Saccharomyces cerevisiae S288C: one gene and its partner. The main gene of each other region encodes a partner of the protein of the gene in region 2 in a complex. Each region holds a gene or a part of one and is shown on either strand. Other genes may lie near its edges. The genes, in order: PDS1 and ESP1. A codon is read from its position in the direction of its gene.

Region 1 (6,550 bases), on a different chromosome or scaffold from region 2:
CACACTTGATGAATAAGCATCTTAGGGGTAAAACATTACATTCCTTTTTATTTTCTCATTTTGCCAATATTAGTCATGCCATCATCGATTGGGTCCAGCAATTTTGTTCAAAATGTAATAAAAAGGGCAAAATTAAACCATTGAAGGAATATAAACGTCCTGACATGTACGATAAACTACTACCAATGGAAAGGATACATATTGAGGTATTCGAACCCTTCAATGGAGAAGCTATTGAGGGAAAATATTCTTATGTCCTTTTATGCCGAGACTATCGCTCTAGTTTTATGTGGTTATTACCACTTAAGAGTACCAAATTCAAACATCTTATCCCAGTTGTTTCCTCACTTTTTTTAACATTTGCTAGGGTTCCAATTTTCGTAACATCAAGCACTTTAGATAAAGATGATCTTTATGATATTTGTGAAGAAATTGCATCAAAATACGGTCTCCGTATTGGCTTGGGTTTGAAGAGTTCTGCGAGATTTCATACTGGGGGTATACTGTGCATTCAGTATGCTCTAAATAGTTATAAGAAGGAATGTCTAGCCGATTGGGGTAAGTGCCTAAGATATGGCCCTTACAGATTCAACCGAAGGAGAAATAAGAGAACGAAACGTAAACCTGTGCAAGTACTACTTAGTGAAGTTCCAGGTCACAATGCCAAGTTTGAGACTAAGAGAGAAAGGGTTATAGAAAACACATATTCCCGTAATATGTTCAAGATGGCAGGTGGAAAAGGTCTTATATATTTGGAAGATGTCAATACTTTTGCCCTTGCTAATGAAGCGGATAATAGCTGTAACAATAATGGAATTCTTCATAATAACAATATAGGAAATGATAACTTTGAAGAAGAAGTGCAAAAACAATTTGATCTAACTGAAAAAAACTATATCGATGAGTATGATGATTTGGCACATGATTCTTCAGAGGGCGAATTTGAACCTAATACCTTAACTCCCGAAGAAAAGCCTCCTCATAATGTCGATGAGGACCGAATAGAGTCCACCGGCGTGGCAGCCCCAATGCAGGGAACAGAAGAGCCTGAAAAAGGGGATCAAAAAGAAAGTGACGGTGCATCACAAGTAGATCAAAGTGTCGAAATAACTAGACCAGAAACTTCCTACTATCAAACTCTGGAATCGCCGTCAACAAAACGACAGAAATTAGACCAACAGGGTAATGGAGATCAAACAAGAGACTTTGGCACATCAATGGAATTGTAATAATATGTAGGATAGAATGAAAGGAGGAGTCACCATAGGTGAAAAAAAAAAGCACCTATTGCATATAAAGTATTCAAAAAGGTGTTGAAAGCTCTTCCTGTATATGACCCTGTATTTAATGTACGCGGTTAAAAAATTTTTATATTTTTAAATAAGTATCAACTTGGATAATATGATCTTGCCCGCAAGGTGGTTTTATATGAATAATTACTTTTTTTTTTTTTTTTTTTTTTTTTTTTTTTTTTTAATTGAACAATAGATGCAGAGGAATGCTCCAAAATTTATTTCCTTGAACAATATTACAAGAGGCAGATATATACTTTTCCTTATTTCCCTTAGTAAAGAATGATGCATGTATACTATTACAAATTTAAACTTCACCCCCACCATGGATGCAAAACAAATAGAAAGCCATTATCATTAGTTTTTTTTTTTCATTCAATTACGATACTTGCTGAAGAAATCTTGATGAAATTCTTTCCAGTCTTGAATCCATTTAGTCCCTGGAGCCAAAAACGTTGTTCGCACATGATAAGTCCCGGGTCTTTGTCCGAACCCAGACCCTGGGACAGTACAAATACCTGTAGATTCTAGCAAAGATGTGCAATAGAACTCATCAGGTTCGATGCCAAGGCGTTCGCTTTCACAAAGAGCTTTCTTAGGTAAAACAAGCCTAGGGAAAAGATACATTGCACCCTGAGGTTTTTGGCATTCGATACCCTCTAGTTCCTTAAACGTCTCGTACAATAAGTTTGCTCTCGTACGCATTTCATGAAAAATTTTCAGCCTTTCGTCATGATCTTGTTCATAGGACTCGTCTCCAGGCTGGGGTGGTTTGACCATTAAATCAACCACAGCTTGTCCTGTGACAACAGAACATATGGATATAGACATGAGTTTGAAAAGAGCATCTCTTATTTCTTGAGAAAACCCAATAATTTCCATGTAACCGCCTCTTTGGCCGCACTCATCCATGAATCCTTTAGAAATGGAGTGTAAAGAGGCGAGCTGAACGTTATCGAATTTTCCTGGATAAAGATGCTGCAATTTTCTTAGGACTTTCTTCATCGAATGAAATTTAACATCGTTGAAAATGTTTTCTTGATAGACCTCATCAGAAATGATTGTAATGCCGTATTTCGCAGCGATCAAACAGATCCTGGCAATGGTTTCTTCAGAAAGAACTGCACCGGTTGGGTTACCTGGATTAATAACTATCAGCACAGATGGTCTGATCTGTTTTTTCAAAGCATCTTGCACTACTTTTTCAATTTCGTCGCTGTTTGTAGACCAATTTGACTCCTCATCTAAGTAGTATGGCAGCACTTGTGCATTGAAAAGAGATGCGGATGCAGTATAAAGCGGATACTGCGGAATTGGAATCAGCAGGCCTGTTTGAGAATCTTTACACAATAAAGATAACAAAGAAGTTGCCGCGGACGAAGCGCCAGTGGTTAAATAAATATCTTCCGGTGTAGCGGGCTCACCGCCGTCTCTTCTAGTAATGAAGTCAGCAACTGTTTGCCTTATTCCTGGCACACCTTGAGAATGCGAATATGCCCCTATAGAACCGCCAATATCATTCAAGAGGCGCTCAGCTCTTTCCAAGGCGTCCCTGGAAAACAAGTTCAAAGAAGCCAGTTCATTATGGCCTACTCGTAAAATTTCCGGGTACTCCAGGATGGCCAGTACTTGCCTGGTAAAGGTCAAAGGCTTCTGATCCAGTTGCTGCGGATTACCAATGTTCGCATTGATAATATCATCGAAAGGCAAAACTTCTGGGTTTTTTTTCAATTCCTCTTTTAGCTCGTCAGCTCTGGTTGGAATAGCTCCTCTTACAGCATATTCTGCCTTAGTGACACCTGTATTCAAATCTTTTTTAGTAATCTTGCCAGCGGGCTTAAAATCCAAATCCTTTGCGGTGAACACACCTTTCAAATCCTGTTGGTGTGTCATTGTCATGTGTTCTTACTTCTTCTGTGTTTACCACTTACAAAAACAACACTACTGTGGCGCTCCTTCCCTTTATTCTTATCTTTTATGCCTCTAGAGATATGAGGAAATATTGGGGTATTTACTGAATGAGAAAAGGATGATGTCAGTCAAGAAAGGATCAAAAAGAAAAGTGAACAGAATATAGTTCCCACACGAAGTAGTAAATTTAGCTATCCTAAAAGTGTATTGGTAATTTGAAGAGATATGTAGATGTACATATGGGACCATAAGAGTAGGAAAAATAAAATAAAATCGCCAAACAAGTAGGAGAAGCCTCAAGATACAAGCCGTTTCCATGGAGAAAATATTGCGAATGAGGCCAAACTTGAACTTTTTTTTTTTCTGCTAAAAAATTCAGAAAAAAAATGAAATTATTTTCTTAGGTATAATGAAGTAATTATGACGAAGTACTTTGAGAACCCATAAAGAGAAGCAATTGAAGACGTGTGGAGGACATCAGCCCGCAGCACATTAGTAGAAACAATAGTATCGTGATGTGATCCCTCTTGGACCCTTTGCCAATCAAGGGTGAAGCGAAGCCATTTAAAACGTACGAACAATGGCGGTAGTTGAGGTATGGGTGAGGCCGCAGATTAAATCCCGGCGGCAGGAGCAACCGCTTTTAACCAGAATTGTATGTTATAAAGTATCTGTATATACGTGTATATATGTTGTGTGTATGTGAATGAGCAGTGGATCTAAGTAACTAAGTCCTCTAGTTCTTCAGGATCGAGGCCTTCTTCGCTGTACACTAACTCCATGGTTGGGACGGCGGCAACTTCTTTGAAGTTCTTAGACAGCAGTGGTAACGCTGCACCTTCTTCTTGATTCCGAGTGATGCACTCAGTCTCATCTTTTTCGCCTTCTTCATCAATTTGTTCTAGTGGGAGTAAATCAACTTTATCTGGGGTGTCATCTTCGTCTTCCAAGTCAAGCTTATATGGTGAGTTGAACGTCTTCAGCTTTTCAATATCATCTTGTTGAAATGGGGAATAGCCTTCTGGTACATACGGTAACGGCTCCTGCCTCTGTGGTGCTATTTCGATATCATAGTCATCAGTTTTATCACTTTTATCGTTTTTAGTTTTTTGCTCATTCTTCGTGGAGTTCTTTATGAGTTGTTGCAGACCACCTTGCTCATTAAATAGTCCTAGGCCACCATTTAATTCATTTTCACCGTCGGAGGAATCCTGTTTTAAAAGTGCACTTTGGAGTTTTTTGCCAAGTTTACTCTCGGAATCTTCATTACCTTCATCATCGTCGGAACTCTCTTCATTTTTACCTGAATCTGCAAGATCTTTTAAAACTAGACTTTTCATTTTAGGTAAAGCATTATAACCAAGGACAGAACCGTACTTTTGTAACTTTCTTGAATTGCTTAACAAATCATTATGGTTGGCCCTACTACGACTGCGAGAAATTTGCGAAAGTTTCCTGAGTTGGTCGTTTTTGCGTATAGATAGTGTATTCTGTAGTTGTGGTAAGTCTGCATCTTTACTCTGATTAGAAGTTTCGGGAAAAATAAAGCTTTTCGATCTATTGTTGTCTTTTGCTGCCAGAGGCAATCTTCCTTGTTGTTGCGCATGGGTATGCAACCTTTTTGTGGGTGACACCTCCTTCCCTCCTTGTATGTACTTTAATGTGTTGCCATTGTTGCTGTTCGCATCCCTTTTGAGTTGGTCCAATCTTACAGGTGGTTTTAAAATATTAGAGTGCGACCTTTTCAGCAAGTGAGCCGGCGTCTGTGGAAAGTTAATGCCGGAACTTTCATTCCCTGTATATACGATATTATTCTCTTTATCTTCGTTAGCTGGCATCATAAAGGTTTATTATCTAGCACTTAATCTAGCTTGGTACCGCAGAAGTGTAATAGTATGTGAATGGGAAAAACCGCTAGCAACCGTTACTTGCCTTCGCCGAATATTGATTTAAAGCTGCATTTATTTTGTTTGTTTATTTTGTTTGTTTTTCTTTTTGACCTCTTACACGAGTTTTTTGACGCGTTTGAGATCTTTGTGTGAAAACGATAAGCAACCTACGCTAACAAATACACACGTCGCACGGAAAGTGATAGTGAAGCAGATATTTCTCGCAAATCCTATGTTATCCGTAAAATAAATCCAACCCTAAAGTATTAACATGTAACAACTTAAGCGCTTCCTTAAGACTGTATAGATATATATATATACATATATATACATAATCATGAAACGCATCGTCGAAAGGTCATTTGAAGCTCGGATCACGTGATCGAAAGCTGTAAGGAATTTGAAAAGCCAATTTTCCCGTAGAAGCTGTGAGGTACAACAAGTGAAATAACTACAGGAGAAACTCACTGAGAAACGTTGGAATAGAACAGTAGTAATCGCAGGACGGAATGCCACTATTTGCAAGGCTCTGCCAGCCTCAATCAAGAAGAATGTTTTCATCTATATCTTCTTTCTCTGCTCTATCTGTGTTACGCCCACAAACCGGTATGCTCTTAAACAGTTCACCATTGAAGACTCCGTCCTTCACACCGTTGGGATTTGGCTTAATAGGTCAAAGAAGATGGAAATCAAGGGGTAACACCTATCAACCTAGTACATTGAAACGGAAGAGAACTTTTGGTTTCTTGGCTAGGGCCAAGAGCAAACAGGGCTCTAAGATATTGAAAAGGAGGAAGCTCAAAGGTAGGTGGTTTTTGTCTCATTGAAATTTCACATACTATTCAGATAAATTTGAATACTTCTTGTACATAGGTATCTAATGATTATGCAACATACACTTTCACTATTATTCAAAAATAAAAGAGCAGTTACTTTATTCCACTTTAAAAAGACGGTTACTTTGTATGTACATGATTTTATATAAAAAGAAAGAAAATGCACCAGTATATATATATATACAATTAAAAAAGTCCAACAAGACAAAACTGATTCGCTGATTAAGCAAAATCGATTACAATACCGGGGCCATGTGTGCTTGATAATGTGGTTTTACTCAGTATATTTGGTTTCTTAGATTTTTGATTATCAACAGCAGTTTTAAATGCCGCTCTAGCGGATATAATGTTTTGTAAAATTTCTCGATCAGTGAAGTAGCATTTGCCGACTCCAATGCTGATAGAGTTTCCCCTTTGCCTGAAAGGCATAGATCCTAGACTTTCTTGAAGTAAGGAGCTTATATCATCACTCACCGTACCTTTTTTGACAGAGGGTAAAACCCCACGAGGACCAAGTATCCTGGCCACCTGCGATTGTAAAGCTGGAACAATATCAGGAGTTGCAAATGCTTTGTCAAAATCAACGCTAATTTCACCGCTTTTAATTTTGGCAACAAGATCT
Region 2 (10,164 bases):
TATGAGTGGTGGAATTCAAGAAGATGATGGTGATTCAACTAATAATGATACTATAAAGCTAAACCAGTCGATTTATTCTTAATTGTTACGCCTTAACTTTTGTTCTCTTTTGAGAAACAGCCTGTATGGTTCGCCGTTTATTTTCTAAGCACCGTTTTTTATTCATATTTTTATAATGCAACTCCTATAGAATATAGATGTTTCGTGTTTTTAATTCCTGCTATGACTTTGTGTCAATGGTATGTGAACTAACAACTGTGTGGTAGTTTGGGATGGTACGTAAAGGTGTTCGTGATTATATAAGCAATCTTAAAATATTTGTATCGCACCATGAGGTGCCCAATAATGAAATGAAAATTACTATTATGAACTATACTAAAAAGATGAAACTTTTTTATCAATCCCAGGTTCTTTTACTTATTATTTTTGGATATAAGAACAAAATCGGATTTCCCATGCTTTTTCTCAATGCCTATATGAAATCTTTTCGAAACAGCCAGTACATGTAACAATTATGATACGAACTTGATCGGTAACCCATAAATAACAGGAGCTGCGCCGTTCAAGTAACGTAGATGGCATACACCTCTAGATTTAGAGACGGCATATGAAACAGATAGGCTATTACCATTCAAATCGTCAGTATTACAGCGAAATCCCATCTTTTCAAAAAGTTCCTCGCTAAATTTATCAATATCTTTGTCAGTTACATCCCACAGATTACCTAGTACCATAGGGCATCCTCCCAGCAAATAAGTATAGATTGTTCCAGTAGGTTCTAACTTGCCGTAATATTTCATCGCTGCTGAAGAGCAGCCCAGTAAAAAGCTGGGGGCAATTTTGGTGCATTTCTTAATCTCCTTACTCCTTACATATTGTTCACCTCCGCCATGCCCTATATAAACGAATAAGTTAGAATTTTGCAGCATTTTCAAAAGTGTTTCCTCTTCCGGCTTCTCGTTCATCACTAATTGAGAGGAAGGTTTTGCATCGATTATTTTTTGGAACATACCCTTGAATTTAGATTCAGTCCTGGACAAATCTCCGTTCGGATTTAATATCATACTAATGTTGTCCTCAATAGTTACTTGAAGGGGTAGTTGGTAATGGAAACGCGATAAAAGTTTATTCAGACAAACATAGGACGGAACACGTGTGATAGACAAATCTTTCAAAAATGAAAGACACTCCCAAGGGAATAAATGGCATGAACTGCTAACGACTAAAAATGTATGAAATATACTATTAGTTGTCATAGTTGCCCTATATTTCTTTATTTGCTCTTCTAACTGCACGTGAAGCATGCTGAAATCAATTTCGTCGTAAGCATTTTCTTCACCATGGAAGAGAAGAATATCAAGAACAAAGTATATCAGGTCTTCCATCTTCGAAAGAAAATCGATTTCTTGCGGATTAAGTTTCAAGAACAATTCGATTACCCAATCTTCAACTTTTATAAACATTGCCGGATTGCCATAGAGTTTTCTGGAAGGAAGATTTTGATGCAGAATTTCGTAAAATTTATCTTTAAATTTTTCAAATAACGAGTTGTCGACTACTTCAGGGCTAAAAAACCCTTGAACGCCATTGAACCAACTATTTTCAATGTTATTCAACAATTGTTGCATTCTTTTATCCAAATCATATCTTGTGGTCCACCAAGATTTTCTTTCTTCTCTTGTTTTAATCTTGTTGGTAACTTCCACTGACGTCGTTTGGTTGCTTTCATTGATAATAGAAAGTAGTTTTTTTGTAGCCTCCGGAAATGAGAGATGAACTTCGTCGAGGTCTCTTGAATTAGATCGTATTAGCGGTAGCCTTAAATGCGTCCTTCTCTTACGTCGCGGTTCTAATTTGGATAGAAGTAAATTTCCAGTTATGGGACAGAAGTCAATAGTTATAACATTAATATTAAGGTTGCTCTCCATTAAGTCCTTCTGGGCGGCAGATACTCTAATACTCTCTGTAATTGTGGATATATTGTTCGGAGCTATTAGTGATGAAACGCGAAATTCTCGGTAATTTTTATTATCAATATTATTCAATACCTTATCGAATAACAAAGGCATATGCCTTGGCAAGTCAGTTAGCGAAAAATTAGTTATCAAACTACTCTCAGCATTATGGATACTAGTTATGTTTGAAAGGATAGTCAGAGTTAATGAAGAAAGGGAGGAAATTTTGGACAGTTCGTGATTATCTAATGTGTCTAGTTTCAAACTCTCCAAAAGTTCTTTCATCTGTTTTAATTTACTAATAGCAGCAATTCTATCAAATTTCTGTCTTATATTCTTACCTCTAGGCGTCATGCTCGACGATCTTGGTGAATCGCAAAGCTTCAATCCTGTACTATGCTTGGAAGGAGTTTTTAAAATGTTGTTGGGCATCGTGCTAGGAATAACAGGCAGAGAAGAGGGAATCCCAAGGGTAGATTCAAACATACCTTTGAAGAAAGGATCTTCCTCCAATTGGCTCATTACTTTTTGCCACATATTGTGTACTCTATTGATTACATTTTTGGGCATATATTCGGACAGACAAATGCTGTCGTCAATATCCTTACCCAAGTGAAGCTTCCACAAATTAGGTAGGAATGTTTTTTCTAGCTGGTCACCGAAATATAGGACCAACGACTGCTCTAACTTTACAAATTCCTTATTATCATACAGAAACATTGTCAAACTTGTAATGTCTGCCTCAGCATCAAGATAATCAAATGCCTTATTGGCTTTTCCCAAAGTTATATTTTGAAGACAGGTTTGCTCTGTAATCATATAGTATCTGTGAAGAAAATGCAGACATCTGTAGACGATAATAGGTTCCTCTAAGTCAGAAATAATTCTAGACAGTTCTTTACTGTAGAACTCACAGTCTCTGGCAGAACCAATGCGTATATGTATTTTAATGAGTTGGAAAAAACTAAACGATAGACTTTTTAGTAATGCTAGCCTGGATCCTTGTGACAATTTGTTCTTCTTTTTGAGCAACGATAATGCTAAATTTTGTGCTTTTCTACAATCAATTACTGCGGATATAACATTACCAGCTTTAATATTTAATTTCGCGCTTTCATTAAAAATTTTTATGTTCAAAAGTATGACTTTGATGTAAAGTGACATGGGTAGGTTGTGGTCGTTATTGATATCAAATAATTCAGGCTTCATAGCAGGCAGTGTTTTTCCAAAATATATTTGAAACGCTGTCAAGTCAGAGTCCCACAAGTGGACATTTATTAAAGAACTTGCATGTAATAACGCCTGCTCTATTTTCGCCGTTGATAAATTCATTGTTTTTTGTAGTTGATTCTTCATCATGAGGGCATCATCAATCATATATAAGCTCAGATAAGCCTCTAGCAAATAATTGTCGGCATAAGGCACAATACTGGAGTAATACTTTTCTTTTGATTTAATACAGAGTGAAAGTTCAATGGATAACTTATCAAAATTATTAAAGTTCAAGTAGCACAATAGCATTTTAACGAAGTCCATTTCAAATGACGATATTCTCTCGGCCTTTTCATCTGATTTTTGTAGCCATTTGTTTATGTACAGCTTAGTTATTTTCGATAGATTCGTTGTCAGGTGTTTACTCATGTCCAGGTTCAATAGGTACACTATTCGTATTAATAGCTCATATTTGTTGAGCAAGTGTAATTTATCAAACGTATTATTTAGCTCTAAAGGATCCAAATCAAAGATACCCCTCAGTGAGCAAAATATCATTCTGCTTAGTTGTGACCAATTTTCGGAAGGAATGTTTTCGATAGATGAATTTCCATACAGTACTGAAAGCATAATTTCTGAACTGTTTGAAAACTCGATGAATTTTGTGATTTTTAGGCGTGTAAAGCAATGAATGAATGCATTTTGGCAAAAGTCAAAAACAAATGATAGCGTATCATTTCGTAGCATGCAATATACATTGAACAAACAGGAAAAGATTTCAATTTTTTTCTGGGCACTCTGAGCACTAGATATAAATTTTTCAAATTTCAGTATAGTACGATGAGATGTTTTTGAATCATTACTGATTAAAACATTTGAGATTTCCAAATTAGCAGTCTTTAACAAAAACGAATGACTCTTAAATAAAACAGAAGCATTGAAAAGGACACTGATAATATTTGACAGTCGTTTAGGCTCTTTATAATCGATACAAATTTCTGATAAAACTCCCAGAAGTTCGGATAATAATGCCGCCGCAGATTCGTCATTAATGGATTTAATATTTGAGTTGATATAAATAACAGTACAATCAAACTGCCTCAATATATCCTTATTTTTAGGTAATCCCTCTAGGCGAATAGTAGACCAAAGACAGACTAAACATTTTAATGTTGCGGATATATGTTTCCCTTTATTTTGTAGAAAATTCGTTGCATTTTCGAGTATTACGTTCAAATCATCGACAGATATACAGGACCAGAGAAGACGGTTTTCACTCATGTTGCAGTATTCATTGAATTCTTTTTTACTTTTTATCGCTCTTTGTACCTCAGTAGTTTCTTCGTAACTTAAAATGTCTAGAAGCATTATTTTATCCAATCCATCGTACAGCATGGAATAGGATAAGTAAAATGAATTTAAATATATTTTATTAGGTCCCATCTCCAAATAATTTTTATGAAGAAGGTTTTTGCTAAAACACTCGACGGTAATGTTGCTAATGAACTTTTTAAAAGGTAATTTGAACTGTTTGATATATTGTAGAAATTTTAGCCCGAATAGAACTTTGCAACTCGTCGTGACAGAAAAAAAGCTCAGCACGATTTTTGTGAGAGCGTGAGCTTTGAGGTTAGGGTCTTTCAAAAGATATCTTTTATCATGGGAAAATAGTTCTAATATATGCGGTAAGTATTCGTCTACTAGCTTTCTTTTCAGTATAATCTGCAGCGCTAATATTTTCAGATTTGAAAGATAGTAGTCGTTCCACGTACTGAAGTCTGCTAGAAGAATGTTTTTCAGACTATGAGCTTGAAATAAATTCGTTTCATTGAAAAGAAAAATAATTTCAGAGGAGGCCAATCCTAATGCGTTATTATTTATTAGTTTAACAATTATCATCAAATGTTGTTTAACAGTGGAGTTTATATGGCCCCACATGTGATGGCTCTTCAATAGGCTATATATTGAATTTAATGAATGGTCAACAGTGGTAATATCCTCAATGGCTAAGTCTATGTTATTGCTTGCAATTTTTGTAAAGTCACGTATTATGTTATTATGCATTGCTAGTATGCCAATAGAATTGGATGAGGCGTCTCCAGACAACACCGAGGTCAGTGGTCTAGTTTGGCCACTATGATGTACTTTCGAAAGCGTGTCGTTTAAAAGGTAGGACTTGCTAGTCATCGGAGTATTCGGACTAATCTCATTCAGCGGTTCCTCCTGTTTTACCATCATTCCTTAATTTATAAGCACTTCGTGCCTAGGTTAAATTATTACTAGGTTAGCCTCAAAAATGTTGGGTTTAGGTCAACTTTTTACTATGCTCGCAGTTAGAAGGAAAAGAAAAATATGCTATAGCCAGATGCTCCTGTGAAACGTGTCCTAACTAAAATAATTCGGATGTTTCTGATGATAGAGTGTCTATATTCCTCCAAAAGGAATTTAACTAATTGTGGTAAGCTTCTCGCTTCAAATGCGCAATGTTACGTGGATGGGCTTTGTATCCATGTTCTTGTTTTTGTTTGTTTACCTCTTTTCTGTAAAGACCCGTGAAGTTTGAAAAGAAAGAAAATAAAAACAAACACCAAGAAATGCAGACAATAAGTACTTGTGGACAGGTTGCCGCTAATAGAACGTGAATCGAGCTACTTTATACGCATTTAATTCCTCATGAAATGGTTTTAGAAACGCTGAAACAAGGGCTTGACAGCAGTCAAATACATGAAGCTTTAATACAACTAGATTCCTATCCTCGCGAACCGGTGGATCTAGATGCCTCGATGGTTCTCATAAAATTCGTAATTCCAGTTTATCCATCACTACCAGAAAGATCGAAGGTGATATTGAGACGGCTAGCTTCTAAATCGTTTACATTTTTATGCCAAATTGTCACCTTCTCAAGGACAATAAGTGGCCGCGATGGACTGCAAGAGATACGCATATACCAAGAAATTTTAGAAGACATCATCAGTTTTGAACCGGGATGTTTGACTTTTTATTTAAAGGCAAGCACTACTAGCAAAGCAGACCGTGATAGCATTAAGGCCCTTTTCTTTGGGAGCAAGTTATTTAATGTGTTGGCCAACCGAATTGATATGGCGAAATATTTGGGATACCTTCGGCTTCAGTGGAAATTTCTACTTGAGAGTAATGAAACAGATCCACCTGGGTTTTTAGGGGAATGGTTAGTTTCATCATTTTTGCTTAACCCAGTGCTAGCGGCAGATATGTTATTAGGCGAATTATTTTTATTGAAAGAGTCGTATTTCTTTTCTTTTCAGAAAATCATATCTGCTAGTAGTCTGATAGATCAAAAGAGGCTGATTGCTAAGTTTTTATTACCATATATTCAAGTTATCGTGACTTTAGAAAATTTGAACGATGTTAGGAAAATTCTGCGGCGGTTTGATCTCGATAAAATCATAAGTCTGTCCGTATTATTTGAAATACAGTCGCTGCCATTGAAGGAAGTGATAGTACGTCTGATGAGCAACCACTCTTCCACGAAGTTTGTTAGCGCTTTGGTAAGTAAATTTGCTGATTTTACAGATGAGGAAGTAGACACAAAGACATGTGAATTGCTTGTACTCTTTGCAGTGCACAATCTCAATCATTCCCAGAGAGAGGAAATAGCACACGATGAGCGGTTTTTGAATGGCGTGACCAAACATTTAGGTAGCAATGAACGTGAGGCAAGGGAGCGTGCGATGTTTATTGCCAAGCTTTTATCAGGCGGTCATCTGAAGTACGAAAGTGATTTTAAAATCAATATACCGAATGTCAAATTCGAAAGCAATAGCGATGATAAAATCATTGATTTCCAATCTTTAAAAAATCCATCCATATGCAATACCCAAACTGATGTGGGTAAGGATAAGATTACTGAGGTCTCGGGTCATGTTCAAAGCCTTACATTGGACTGCAGTGATAGCGATGATGAAGATGAGAACGATGAGCGGGAGATTGTTAAACGAATTGTATTTTTAAAAGATTTAATGAAAGAATACGAAAAAACTGGGGAATCTCGAAAAGCTCCATTGATACCACTTCTGAAGCAAACAGTGAAATTGATACGGCAAAAGGCGGATTTTCAGTTAGAGGTTGGCTATTATGCACAAGGTATTCTGTCAAGCATTGTGTGCTTGAATAATGAATTTGATGAACCGCTTTTCGAGCAGTGGAGAATAAACGCTCTAACAAGCATACTGGTCGTCCTTCCAGAGAAGGTGAATGGCGCTATAAATATTCTATTCAATTCAGAACTGTCGTTACAGCAAAGGATGTCACTATTGTCGGCTCTGGGTCTTTCTGCAAGAGAGTTGAGAGGGCTTGATGATCCTACTATTGTCAAGCCCAAGTTTGATTTTCCAACAAATCGTTTACCGTGGGATGATCAAAGCCATCATAATAGTAGGCTTGTTGAAGTTCAAGAGTCAACAAGTATGATAAAGAAGACGAAAACAGTATGGAAATCTAGAAAACTAGGCAAGGATCGAGAAAAAGGAACGCAAAACCGCTTTAGAAAATATGCTGGTCTATTCTTCTATCCGCTAGCACACGGTTGGCTTAATGGAATTGACGTAGGCACATACAATCAGCTTTTTAAGTCGCATTATTTAACAACACTGCGTATCATATACTCTTGCGCTAACCCGGTCCACGATTTTGAATCCATGACGGAGTTGATGAATCATATAATTAGTTCAGCCATAGAGGAAGGAATTTCTCTCAATAAAGGTTAGTAGCATAGTTATTTGTACCAATCTTATGATACATATTTGAATAAATTTAGTGCGTTCTCTGTCAGCGTCGTTAGTATTTAATGCACAGCATATTATTTCAGAAGGTCGGCCGACTCCTGCAACTGGGAAAAAGAACTTCAATAAGAAAAGGCCTGAACAAATCTGCTTGGTAAGGGCCCAACAACATTTAAGAAATTGTACATTTTGAAAGCACTGATCCATCAATTAAAGCACCGAACAACCTCAGAGTTGATACAATTATTAGTTAAAGGATAGGATATGTCATTTTTTGATTCTTTACGTCAAAAGGCACCCTTTTTGGATAAACTGGCAGACAGTTTCACTCCAACATTAACCAGAGATGAGAAATTCAGATTAAAATATAAACTTCCAGCTAATGAAAACATTTTGGAAGATACGAATGCAGAAGTTTCATTTGCAACTTCCATTAAAGATGGAAAAGGGCATTCTGATAGAGTGAACAATAAAGGGAGAAAAACTGCTTATGTGTATTCCGGGAGATTGTTTTTAACACCTCATTTTCTGGTATTTCGAGATGCATTTGATCATTCATCGTGCGTACTAATACTGAATATTTCTACCATTAAACGTGTAGAGAGGTCGCCATCCGAATCATATGAATTTGCTCTTCTAGTAACTTTGTACACAGGAGCAAAGGTTCTGATTCAATTTATCGGTATACGTTATAGATCGGAGCAGTTTTGTGACAAATTGAAACTAAATTTGAAAGAAAATATTCCTAATGCCAAAACTTTACCTGCTTTTCTAGAAACCTCATATTCGGAGTTCTTAATTGCTAAAAATATTCTAGGTAAAAAGGACATAACTGTACCCAGGGCAGGTCTAGGACAACATTTCAAGTATCCCGGTAATCCTACTATGGTAAAAGAAAAGGCTAAATTGAGGCTATGGTTCGATTATTTCAGAGAGAATGGAAGGAATTTGGCAGTTGTGCAAACTCCTATGTTCCGAAAGTTAATCAGAATCGGTGTTCCAAATCGAATGAGAGGTGAAATTTGGGAACTATGTTCAGGTGCAATGTATATGCGTTATGCAAATTCTGGGGAGTACGAAAGGATATTAAACGAGAATGCTGGTAAAACATCGCAAGCTATCGACGAAATTGAGAAGGATTTGAAGAGATCGCTGCCCGAATACTCAGCATACCAGACTGAAGAAGGTATTCAAAGGTTGAGAAATGTTCTGACAGCTTATTCGTGGAAGAACCCTGATGTTGGATATTGCCAGGCCATGAATATAGTTGTTGCAGGATTTTTAATCTTTATGTCTGAAGAGCAGGCTTTTTGGTGCTTGTGTAATCTATGTGACATCTATGTTCCAGGTTATTACTCAAAGACGATGTACGGTACATTGTTAGACCAACGAGTGTTCGAGTCTTTTGTAGAGGACAGAATGCCGGTTCTTTGGGAATACATTTTACAGCATGATATTCAACTATCTGTGGTGTCTTTACCTTGGTTTTTGTCTTTGTTTTTCACTTCAATGCCTCTAGAATATGCTGTTAGAATAATGGATATTTTTTTTATGAACGGTTCTATTACTCTATTTCAGGTGGCATTAGCAGTTCTGAAGATAAATGCAGATGATATCTTACAAGCCGATGATGATGGAATGTTCATTGCCATAATTAAGCACTATTTCCAAACTCTGGGACAAAGTGCTCACCCAGATTCAAGCGATATAAAATATAGACAAATCACGAAATTTCAAGAGCTGTTAGTTACGGCTTTCAAAGAGTTTAGTGTCATCAGCGAGGAAATGGCAATGCATGCAAGACACAAATATGAGAAAGGTATTTTTCAAAACATTGAGACTTTCATGAAAAGAACGCAACTGCGCCATATGCCAAAAACTTTCAACCTGTCCAGTGATGACTTGTCCAATATCTATGACATGTTTTACCAAAGTATAGAAACCTACAAAATTAGTATGGGAACGGGATCATCTAATATGGGTTTCGAAGTATTCATTCAGTTCTTGAGTAAATTCTGTGACTCCTGTAGACCGTGTGAAAAGGACAAAGATCCAGCTTTCCGGAAACAAAAAAGGAATTTTCTGCAAAGGTTATTTGATAACTGGGATTCTGCTCATATCGGCGAGTTGACATTGAACGATGTGGTAACAGGCTTGGATAAACTGGTAACTGTTGATCTTTTACAAGCTATAAACTATTTTTTCTCTTTATATGATACAGATGGCGATGGTGAATT

What was found.
Region 1: the proteins of ESP1 (region 2) and PDS1 are in contact, whole or in part, in a crystal structure (PDB 5U1S), measured with the Saccharomyces cerevisiae proteins. Residues at the interface, in NP_011612.3 of Saccharomyces cerevisiae: Lys110 (codon at 5,078), Leu113 (codon at 5,069), Met114 (codon at 5,066), Val117 (codon at 5,057), Lys118 (codon at 5,054), Ile120 (codon at 5,048), Asn121 (codon at 5,045), Asn165 (codon at 4,913), Ile168 (codon at 4,904), Leu169 (codon at 4,901), Gln172 (codon at 4,892), Lys176 (codon at 4,880), Lys205 (codon at 4,793), His207 (codon at 4,787), Ala208 (codon at 4,784), Lys211 (codon at 4,775), Ile212 (codon at 4,772), Arg380 (codon at 4,268), Asp383 (codon at 4,259), Val386 (codon at 4,250), Ile387 (codon at 4,247), Asn390 (codon at 4,238), Lys423 (codon at 4,139), Arg424 (codon at 4,136), Asn427 (codon at 4,127), Ser430 (codon at 4,118), Val431 (codon at 4,115), Phe433 (codon at 4,109), Asn434 (codon at 4,106), Val437 (codon at 4,097); in NP_010398.3 of Saccharomyces cerevisiae: Asp258 (codon at 4,273), Ile259 (codon at 4,270), Glu260 (codon at 4,267), Ile261 (codon at 4,264), Ala262 (codon at 4,261), Pro263 (codon at 4,258), Gln264 (codon at 4,255), Arg265 (codon at 4,252), Gln266 (codon at 4,249), Glu267 (codon at 4,246), Pro268 (codon at 4,243), Leu269 (codon at 4,240), Pro270 (codon at 4,237), Tyr271 (codon at 4,234), Val272 (codon at 4,231), Pro273 (codon at 4,228), Glu274 (codon at 4,225), Gly275 (codon at 4,222), Tyr276 (codon at 4,219), Ser277 (codon at 4,216), Pro278 (codon at 4,213), Phe279 (codon at 4,210), Gln280 (codon at 4,207), Gln281 (codon at 4,204), Asp283 (codon at 4,198), Ile284 (codon at 4,195), Lys286 (codon at 4,189), Leu287 (codon at 4,186), Lys288 (codon at 4,183), Thr289 (codon at 4,180).

What each region holds. Positions count from the first base shown.
Region 1 is NC_001136.10:676,574-683,123, forward strand, and holds PDS1 (securin), read right to left. Parts: upstream 5,045-6,550; coding exon 3,923-5,044; downstream 1-3,922. Other genes in the region: replication fork barrier binding protein FOB1, read left to right, coding at 1-1,229; alanine transaminase ALT2, read right to left, coding at 1,668-3,191; YDR114C (uncharacterized protein), read right to left, coding at 5,351-5,653; mitochondrial 54S ribosomal protein bL34m MRX14, read left to right, coding at 5,602-5,919; mitochondrial 54S ribosomal protein uL1m MRPL1, read right to left, coding at 6,151-6,550. UniProt on the Saccharomyces cerevisiae protein: Regulatory protein, which plays a central role in chromosome stability. Probably acts by blocking the action of key proteins.
Region 2 is NC_001139.9:682,054-692,217, forward strand, and holds ESP1 (separase), read right to left. Parts: upstream 5,406-10,164; coding exon 513-5,405; downstream 1-512. Other genes in the region: ASK10 (Ask10p), read left to right, coding at 1-82; TEL2 (Tel2p), read left to right, coding at 5,846-7,912; GTPase-activating protein MDR1, read left to right, coding at 8,192-10,164. UniProt on the Saccharomyces cerevisiae protein: Caspase-like protease, which plays a central role in the chromosome segregation by cleaving the MCD1/SCC1 subunit of the cohesin complex at the onset of anaphase. During most of the cell cycle, it is inactivated by securin/PDS1 protein.